Linked DNA regions of Daphnia pulex. The protein of the gene in region 2 purifies or fractionates together with the protein of the main gene of each other region. This does not show direct contact. Links are inferred from orthologs where the notes say so. Each region holds a gene or a part of one and is shown on either strand. Other genes may lie near its edges. The genes, in order: rabenosyn-5-like and ras-related protein Rab-5C-like.

Region 1 (4,522 bases), about 2.3 Mb from region 2:
ATTTTGAAGTTTAGCTTTAGTCGTTAACATTTATAGCTTCACTCTTCAGTTATAAAATTCAAATGCTACTTAATTATTTATTTATTTAGTGTAAGATTTGAAAGTTTTCAAATGTCTAATTAGTGCCACACAATTTTCGCAAATGCTGCTTCTACACCTCCAACAGGCCTGAAATTTGATGTATTTTCTAGAGTTCATTCCTTTGGAATTGCATAATTCTTTTTCTAACTAGGAAGTTAATCATATGCATTTATGAACAAAAAAACGGAAGTTGCATTCATTATTATATATCGCATTCAAAATAACGAATATCACATTGTGGGGGGCGAATAAACATGTTATTTGACCATTCTATATTTGATCAATTGATGGAATGTCGATCGAAATCTTATGACTGAGACTGCATTCTCTCGTGTTCAATCTGAAGATCACGTAAGTTTGCCTCCAGGATAACAACATCGTCGTAACGATTTGCACGCCTAGTAGATTAGAAAATGAAAGAAAATGAATAAGGAATTTTTTTAATTTTGAAGACAGGATTTCAAAGCATAACCTAGAAATTCCCTAGTCAATAATTTTCATGTATACCTAGCTTGTTGAATGTAATTCCGCATTATTTGCATTTGCTGTAGCATCGGATCATCTGATTCATTTACGTTTCTTATGTTTGAGGTTTCTACTCCCCAACCTCTATCCACGGACACCTACAATTAAATAGATTACAATGCAACGCAATATTTTTTTAAGTAATCAGACATAAGCACTGTGCAGGATGGAAAAAAAGTAAAAAACTTACTGCTTCAAAATCTTTCTGATTATCCATGTGTTGACGCCTAGTTTCTGTTTCCCGTTTTTCAAAAACAGCTTTTTTCTCTTGAGCTATGCGCTTTTCGATTGCTTGACTGAAGAGAAATGGACGGGTAAAATGAATTCATAACTAAAAGTTAATTGATCTGCCTTACCGCCTCTCAGCTTGCAGCACTATAAGTTGTTCTTCAGTGGGCAAGTTCGGCAATCCAAGTAGATTTTCTTTCAAGAAGTTTACTGCAGAAAGACGAATTTTGAGTTGTAATGACAGAGCAGTGCCAGACGTGGGATTCTTCTCATCATCGATTCCCAGAGACTGGATTTTTTTACTAAACAATAAATAAAAAAAGTGTATCAATAAATTTACCAATAGCGCCAAAGAGAAAATTAAGAGAAAATTGGATACCTGTAGCCGTCAACGTATTCGGCAATTTTCAATAGTTTCAGACGACATTCTTGAGCATCTTTCAAATTGTAAGTAGATTCACCTTGACTTGTCAATTAAATAGAAAGTTATCATTTGTGAAACATTGATTTGTTCCTTAAGAAATTATGACAAACCTAAAAGATTCGAGCATTTTCAAGAAAACCGGCATGAGTTCGGCACCTTTTTCCATGTACTTCCGCATTTCATTATAGAGTTCGGCGATGACAGCGTTTTGACTCCGGCTGTCCATTTGCTGTTCGCGTCGTTCAAGAAGCTGGAAAACGTTTGTTATGGTTTTTAAAATTCTTAAACTAAAGCATTACGTTTGCGAACCTGTTTACAATAATAACAAACTCTGATGTGACCTTCTCCCGTATCGGTATCAATTAGAGAGGTCAGTGACGTCAAACTAGTGGTAGATCCAGTCCTTTTAAGAGCATGGACGGCAGCGTGAGTTAATCTCTTAGGAGGACTTGGTTTCTCCTTGTTGTCATCTAAGGTTGGAATATAGCTGGGATTTGTCAGTTTCCCTTGCAAAAAGTAAATGGGGAATAATGAGAAACTGAAACACAAAACATCTTTAAAAAAATACATTTGTAAAACAATAATGCTTACTTGCAAATGAAAGCAAGAGAAATTGACTGCATTGGTGGCATTGTACGGTACCACAGACACGGCAGTGATGTTTCCGTCTAAGTATGTTAAATGATTTAGCACATTGTGGGCATAGCTGAACATCCTCGTCGTTAACCCAAGTAACTATGTTTTGTTCATGCTCCCGTCTTTTCGCAGCTTCACTGGGTAAGCAAGATACAATTTTATCTAGTCGAATGATTAATTTGTTTGTTTCGGCAGCGTAAAAGTCCATTCGGTTACTCCGGAACTTACGGAAATCCGACCAGTGACTATGTATTACACCTACAATGTATTTCAATTAGATATAATGAACAGAGTGTTAACTTTTTGAAAATTTCTTACCAAAATCTTGAGGATCCCATTCAACATGATCCTGCTTTTGCTGACTGGATTTTGAACTGGTTTTCTCCAGAATCTCAAAAGGATTGTCTGACTTCAAAATCTTCTTAGCCTTGCCAAGAAAGTCTAAAACCAAAACATAATAAAAAAAAGTTTCTGTTAAAATAATTGTGTTTACATACATAAAACTTCCTACTGTGCTGAATATGATAGCATGTTGTACATAGTAATCGCAATGCATACTAATGAAACAAATGAAGTGGTTATTACCTTTGAAAGCCTGTAATACATCATTATCCTCTTCTGTATCATGAGCTTCTTCGAAATGAAGAAGTAACTGGTCATCTGTAGCCAAATCTTCCATGCAAATAGGACAAATAAATCCTTCTCGAATTCTGCTCTCGTTATCGTCTGTGTGTGTGCTGGTCGCCATTTCACTCAAATAGTTGATACTACTAGGATTATTGTATCAGGACAAATCACAAATCTAACCAATGTTACTCCAAATCTGTGTAACAACTTTTAAAAGCTTGTAATCCAGGAATAATTCACTTCATTTGTATTACGCCCATTCCTATAATTTCTTTGGACAGAAGCAGACGACGTCGTCTTACTTCCTATATTTCAATCGATTGTTAAGTATTGCGATACATGACAAAATGAACGAGTCTAGCGGTTTTTTTTTTACATTTCTAATGAATGATTCGTTTTTTTATTTCTGTTACTCAATAATTTCTTGCAACGCACTGAATAAGGAAAAACTCTGATATAAACAAAATATCGTATGTAGCGCTATAACTTTGCGTCCTTGGGTGTGTGTCCGAATATGTCTCGGTGTGACCTACCAAACAAATAAATGTAGAATAATCCAAATTAAAAAATCAAATAGAATGAAAATACCCAATTGACATTGCGCGTTGAGAACGACGTCTAGGAGAAGGATTGGTGGACGAACTGTAAGTAGAACAGAAAGTATCATTGTGTCCATCGGAATCAGTGTGGTGACTGTGGTGCTGACGTTCTGGTTCGCTCATTTCAATCGGATCCTGCCATTCTTCCTTTTCCGTGTCCGACGACGACTGGGAAACGCGTCGCGGTCCCACCGAAACTGCCGGCGGAGGCGAATGAGCCGACCGATGGACGACAACATCCTCTTCGACAATGCTGTCCAAGAAACGAGGCACCATCTCACTGTGCAACGAAATTGTGCTCTCGTGAAAGCTGGGCAATTCTCTTCCCTGCCGGAACGTGTAGCTGTAAATCTTTGGAGCCTTCTCCGCTTGAATCAACTGGATTGAGAAGCGATTAACGGCCAAATTGCCTAATGTAATAAGACAATGTCTTACCGTACATTCGTGACGGTCGACTTGAAGTAGGATCCATCCATAGTGGCAATCTGCTCCAGATCGGTGACCGAATCCATCTGGTGCGAAAGGAGTCCGGAGATGTTGCTCGATTCCGTCGAGACTCCGAATCCGGAATCGAGTTTCGTGTCTGACGTCATCTGGCTCTTTTCGACGTAAGCAGTTGCTGTAGCGTCGACGACCGATACTTTCGACTTCAAACTCGGTTTGTGCGGATTAAGCGACTGCAAAGATGGCTGCTGCTTGACCGAACGTCTCTCGACCACTTTGTTGATCAATTTCTCTTTGATGTCGGAGTCGACTTCCAGATCGAATGCCAAACTGCCTGGATGACGCAATTCGATAATCAGCATGGCGCTTCCGGTCAACAAAGCCACCAGACCAGTGACGAGCACAGTCCAGTAACAGCCGTCCAGTTTGAATTGGAGTAGGCTTCCATTGATGACGATGACTAGATCCAAGGCTGGCAACAATATCCAGTAGAGGAAGACGGCCATCAGGCCCAGCAAACCGGTGGTTATCATGGCAACGGCTCCGTGCTGCGGAATGACGAGGAAGAAAATGTTCATCCACGCCCAGCTGATGAGCGTCAACGTCAGGAAAAATTGGCAAAAGAATCCAGCCCTTCGGTAATCGACAGACCAGCGGAAACCTTCTTCCTGGTGACTAAAATAGTTGATGACGGTCAAGATGGGAACAGGCAATCCGCGTTCCAGGGCTTCCCTGAACTGCACTCGCATGTCTTCGGCCGTTTTCAGTTCGATCCGCTCGTTAAATTTGATGACACTTAGATCGCTCGCTTTCTCGTAGGATCCAGTGATCAGCTGGATGGAATCTCGTGGCAGTAATCGAGGTAGAACCACATTCTCCGTTTTCTGTTGGGCTGGTGCATTTTGACTGGGATCCAGTACCAGTGTGATGTTGACGTAATCGAGTCCGACGTGAACTT
Region 2 (4,596 bases):
CACTAGTTTTAATGACGCCGTGTAAATTGTCTCTAACTGTTCTGTTCTTTCACTAGGTAATTCTGGGTCAGCTGTCATCCAGAACCAGAAAACTAATTACCACCACGAGTTCCCACTTGGACAAAAGCTGCTGAAATTTGGCTGTAAAAAAAATTACCTCTTGTGAAATGTCATTCGTATTTGTACCATGTGCATCAATATAGATTCGCCTTTTCACAAGAATATCCAAATTTTTCTCGTTATTTCTCCACTCATTTCAACTTCCAAAGTGCAAAGGCTTATCAGTATCAGTAAAGCCAATTAAAGAAAGAATGAAATGAAATCAACGGGCAAGGCAAGAAATGTACATTTCCTGATATAGCAGCGTTACTTACACGATATCCAAGTTAGGACATTATTCGAAAGATATTGGGAGGGCCACGATCATGATCAAGGAGAGAAAAAGCTAAATAGGTATATAGAGAAGAAATGTGTGGAACACCTACATTGATTTGTATATAAAAAAAAAAAAAGGTAATCAAGGTTTCACAAAGCTTGATATACAAAAGTTTTGAAGGGCGGGGGGGAGGTTCGAGTATACACAAAAGAAACGGGGGGAAGAAATTCTACACACGAGAAAAAAGAACCATCACACAAGTTTGTTTGAAGTAAAAACGTGGGGGGAAAAAAGGTGTGTGTTATGTAAAAACCAAAATAGAAAAAAAACATGGTTGATGATGGTCGGGAGATTTAATAATACAGAGTCAGGCCATTATTTTTTGTAAACCCTTGCCTTGTTTTCTTTTCCAATTCAAATTCGCCATTTAATTTGGAATGTCGCTGCTCCGTTTGAATAAAAAAAAAATTAAAAAATAAACGATCGACACAACGGATAATCCCCAAAAAAGGTTGTAACTATTTAAATGCTGCAAATTATATTCTGATGGGGGGAGGGGGATGCTGTAAAGGGATATGATATAAAAGTCCTTTTGATGGTTTACAAAAAAAAAAATTAGGGAAAAATAATAATAAGAAAGAAAAGGAATTGGATCCCCGCGTGTGGAAAAAACAAAGAAAACAAAGAACGGATGATTTTTTCTTTTTTTTTAATATATGGTTTTTTTGTTGTTTTTGTTGTCTTTCATAAATGTGTGTAGTATGTGTTTTTTTTCTTTGTTTAGTTTCTTTTTTTTGTTGTTTAATTATTTCGTGATCACTTGCAGCACGAGGAAGCTGGTTTGTTGCCGTCTTCAGCTCTGTCTAGCCTCCTACCCTGCCCACTGCTTCCGCCAACACCTCCAGCTCCGTCGTTCTTAGGTAGTTTCTTGGCTGTCAAGTGCAAAAAGAAAGATGTACATAGAGAAGAATAATTGCATGTGAGTAATGAGTTGAATTTACCGATAGCCAAGAAGATGTCGTTGACGTTCATGGCCGTCTTGGCTGACGTTTCCATAAATAGAAGTCCGTTTTCTTCGGCGTAGCCTTTAGCTTCGTCAAATTCAACAGCACGTTTAGCGGCCAAGTCGGCTTTGTTGCCCGCCAAGGCAATGACAATGTTAGGGGAGGCTTGACGTTGCAACTCTTTCACCCAGACCTTGGCCCGGCCAAAAGTGTCTTGGTTTGTTATGTCGTACACTACAATAGCCGCCTGTGCCCCTCTGCAAATATCAACAAAGGTGTTATTGATACAAGTTGACACTTTTTGTTTTATGATCAATCGTACCTGTAATACATGGGGGCAAGACTGTGGTATCGTTCCTGGCCAGCAGTATCCCAAATCTCAAATTTGACAGTTGTGTCATCCAAACAGACTGTCTGTGTCAAGAAAGCCGCTGGAAAGAAAACGACAACATTAACAACTGTGATCAAAGAGTGGAGATGAAATCATGTTTACCTCCGATGGTACTCTCCTGGTATTCATGGAACTGTCCTTTGACAAAACGGAGAACCAGACTGGACTTTCCCACTGCAGACTCACCGAGAAGCACCAGTTTGAACTGGCAGATTTTGCCCTGTGTGGCACCATTTGGTCGCTGTGCAGCTCCACCGGCTGCTGCTGTTGCTGTTCCAGCTTGATTCCCACGATTGGCCATGACTCTGCTGTAAACTGAAGCTGCAACAAGAAAGAAAAAAACATCAGTTCACAACCTTGTGCAAAAAAATTAGCCAAGGTAGAATCCTTATACATATTGGGAATAAAAAAAAAGAGAATTTGATTGGCTTCCTGTGCTTCTGACCTACTAAAACAAAACAAGAACAAAAAGCTATATACCCCAAACCAGGAAACTGTTTGAGAATTCTGAACTTGAAAAATTCTAGGAAAAAATCAAAATACGATTCCTCCAAGCCGCTGGTTTGTTAAGTGTTACGAAATGCAAAACACGTCGTTATAAAAATGAAGGCACCAAACAACACCACACACAAGACGGAAGACCCAGCAGCCAGGGGTGGTATTTTGAAACGTCACTTGAACATCAGACGGTGGTAGGGTGGGTATATCGATATTATACGGGAAATGTTACACGTAATTTTTTCTCTCGAGTAGAATGGGGAGGGAGTATAAGGAAAAAGTAAAGAAAAAATCAAAATTTTATGGAGGGGCTGATTGGAAAAAGATAGCAGTAAATCTGTTATTTTTTCGAGAGGCGTCTACCGACACGAACAAAACTTACACAAGGGATAAAATAACCGATGCTGTTCAGTGGGGGGAAACAAAAAGTCAAAACTCTTGATGACACACACACTTCTTTATGACGACGACAGGAAGGAAGAGAGTTTCAATAGTATGAACGTAGGCAATAGTTTTTACATGTAAAGATTACGAAATTCGACTGCTCTAGTGCTATCTCGCTGCTGTGTGTTGGAAAAAATTTTATTATTCGCAGCGAAAAAGCGAAATCCTCACAACAGGGAGGAGGGACACACAAGAACTAGCCCACCAGGCGGACAAATATCGAAACATGGCAACCTTGTTGTGTTAAATAACTTTTTTACTCGAAAAAATCCAAAATTTTTTAAAAATCTATTATTTAACTTAGTCAACATTTACATATCGAGCGTTAACGATTCGTAATGAATAATGCAGAATAATTAAAACAAATTCCACGTAGATATCGAATAAACCGTGAATTTCGTCGGTACTATTTAGCTCTGGTGAGCCATCTAGCGGTCAAAAGAGTCACTCGAATGGCCAGATCGAGGGGAGGTGTTTTCTCTTCTCTCCATCCGCCCCGGAAACTTTAATTAAGACAAAGCGATGGAAGGGGGAGACGACGTAGAGGATAAGATACAAATAATCCACAAATCTAATCTCGGTCTTAAATTGGCAATCACGGAAACGTCATGGATTCCCGCCCGGCAAGCCGTCTGCTTTCAAAAAATAAGAGAAGAGCCAATTGTCGTTATTACCTTTTAGTAGAAGCGGCGGCATATACATAAATATATATCAGAGAGCGCGACAGCAGCACAGCTGCTTCTCTCTGTGAGTATAGAGTTAACCATCCGGGGGTAGTAGTGCACTGGCAATCCGGTGTGTGTGTATATTGACGTCCGCGTCAGGGGCCCACGGCGGCGTCAGTATCACAGCGACGGCTAACAGATCCGCACGTGTCTCCGTTTGTTTCCTCGACCGAAAAAAAAGTGTTGTGTGTGCGTCTATACTTGTTTTGTCGCTTCAGCCAATGATGACCTAAGAAATAAATCCGTCCAAAAACCAGAGAGAAAAACAACAAAATTTTTTAAAAAAAGGACAAAAGTTATTTCAGAAAATGGCACGTCAACTCATCATTGGATTACTACTCTTTTGTGTCATCGTTCACGCGGCGCAATCTCAAGGTATATAAAAATCACCCCAGCAAATATGTACGGCCTCTGTTTTTTTATGTTTTAACATTTTTGTTGTAGAATTGAAAAATGGAACGGCCTGCAAGGAGGAGATACTGCAACTTGTTTGCGAGTCCGAGACGGAAGTTTTGGTTATCCATCGGGCGGTTTTCGACGGACAAGATTCGGATGGATGCGGATTTCTGATGCCGATCAACATCTCTTCCCTACTGCCACCGGTGTCATCGGCCATTCAACAACAACCAAAGAATATAACCGATCAGGAGGAACTGCAGGAAATGATCGAACTGGATAGTCGCCGGCGATTATTCTCCGTCCAATCGACTGTCAACCGCCGGTAGGTTTTGTCGTCCCATCTACTTAGCTAATGGCACTCTACACCCAATTAATCAGTCAATTGGCCGCGTTAATCAGCCAAGTCTGATTTAGAGTTTGGGTCGTCCAACCAACGGTTGATGGATGATTCAAAAAAGATTTCACCAGCAGCTGTGCAATATCATCTCGATAGATATCGACAGGGGAGAGAATAAAGTTCAGTATAGGGGGGGAGTAGGTTTTTCCAGCACGCACGGGCAACTTTTTCAATAGTTTATTTGCGTCGGTAGTAGTCGAGGGGGGACACACACAAAAGGAGGAGAGGCTTTTAGTAGTCTGAGGGGGGATGTCAGCGTTGATGGAGTAAAGCATTTGTCATCCACTTAAAAACATGAAAGTAACTACTAGTCTACTACTAGTGCAGTAGTAGTACATCCGAGCTCCTTTTAGCATAATCAA

The links.
Region 1: the proteins of ras-related protein Rab-5C-like (region 2) and rabenosyn-5-like purify together in Drosophila melanogaster (affinity purification with western blotting; 3 studies listed by BioGRID, with this or other methods). This does not show direct contact. The link is inferred for Daphnia pulex from reciprocal best matches to the Drosophila melanogaster genes Rab5 and Rbsn-5.

Annotation. Positions count from the first base shown.
Region 1 is NC_060026.1:3,857,158-3,861,679, reverse strand, and holds rabenosyn-5-like, read right to left. Parts: upstream 2,837-4,522; 5' UTR 2,643-2,836; coding exon 2,480-2,642; intron 2,336-2,479; coding exon 2,213-2,335; intron 2,153-2,212; coding exon 1,850-2,152; intron 1,765-1,849; coding exon 1,568-1,764; intron 1,509-1,567; coding exon 1,369-1,508; intron 1,301-1,368; coding exon 1,214-1,300; intron 1,137-1,213; coding exon 963-1,136; intron 903-962; coding exon 797-902; intron 705-796; coding exon 589-704; intron 480-588; coding exon 389-479; 3' UTR 163-388; downstream 1-162. Other genes in the region: uncharacterized protein LOC124204889, read right to left, coding at 3,002-3,050, 3,110-3,498, 3,561-4,522.
Region 2 is NC_060026.1:1,540,177-1,544,772, reverse strand, and holds ras-related protein Rab-5C-like, read right to left. Parts: upstream 2,937-4,596; 5' UTR 2,789-2,936; exon of another isoform or gene 2,652-2,788; intron 2,440-2,651; exon of another isoform or gene 2,166-2,439; intron 2,093-2,165; 5' UTR 2,073-2,092; coding exon 1,874-2,072; intron 1,812-1,873; coding exon 1,703-1,811; intron 1,638-1,702; coding exon 1,378-1,637; intron 1,309-1,377; coding exon 1,193-1,308; 3' UTR 331-1,192; downstream 1-330. Other genes in the region: uncharacterized protein LOC124204766, read left to right, coding at 3,747-3,813, 3,883-4,159.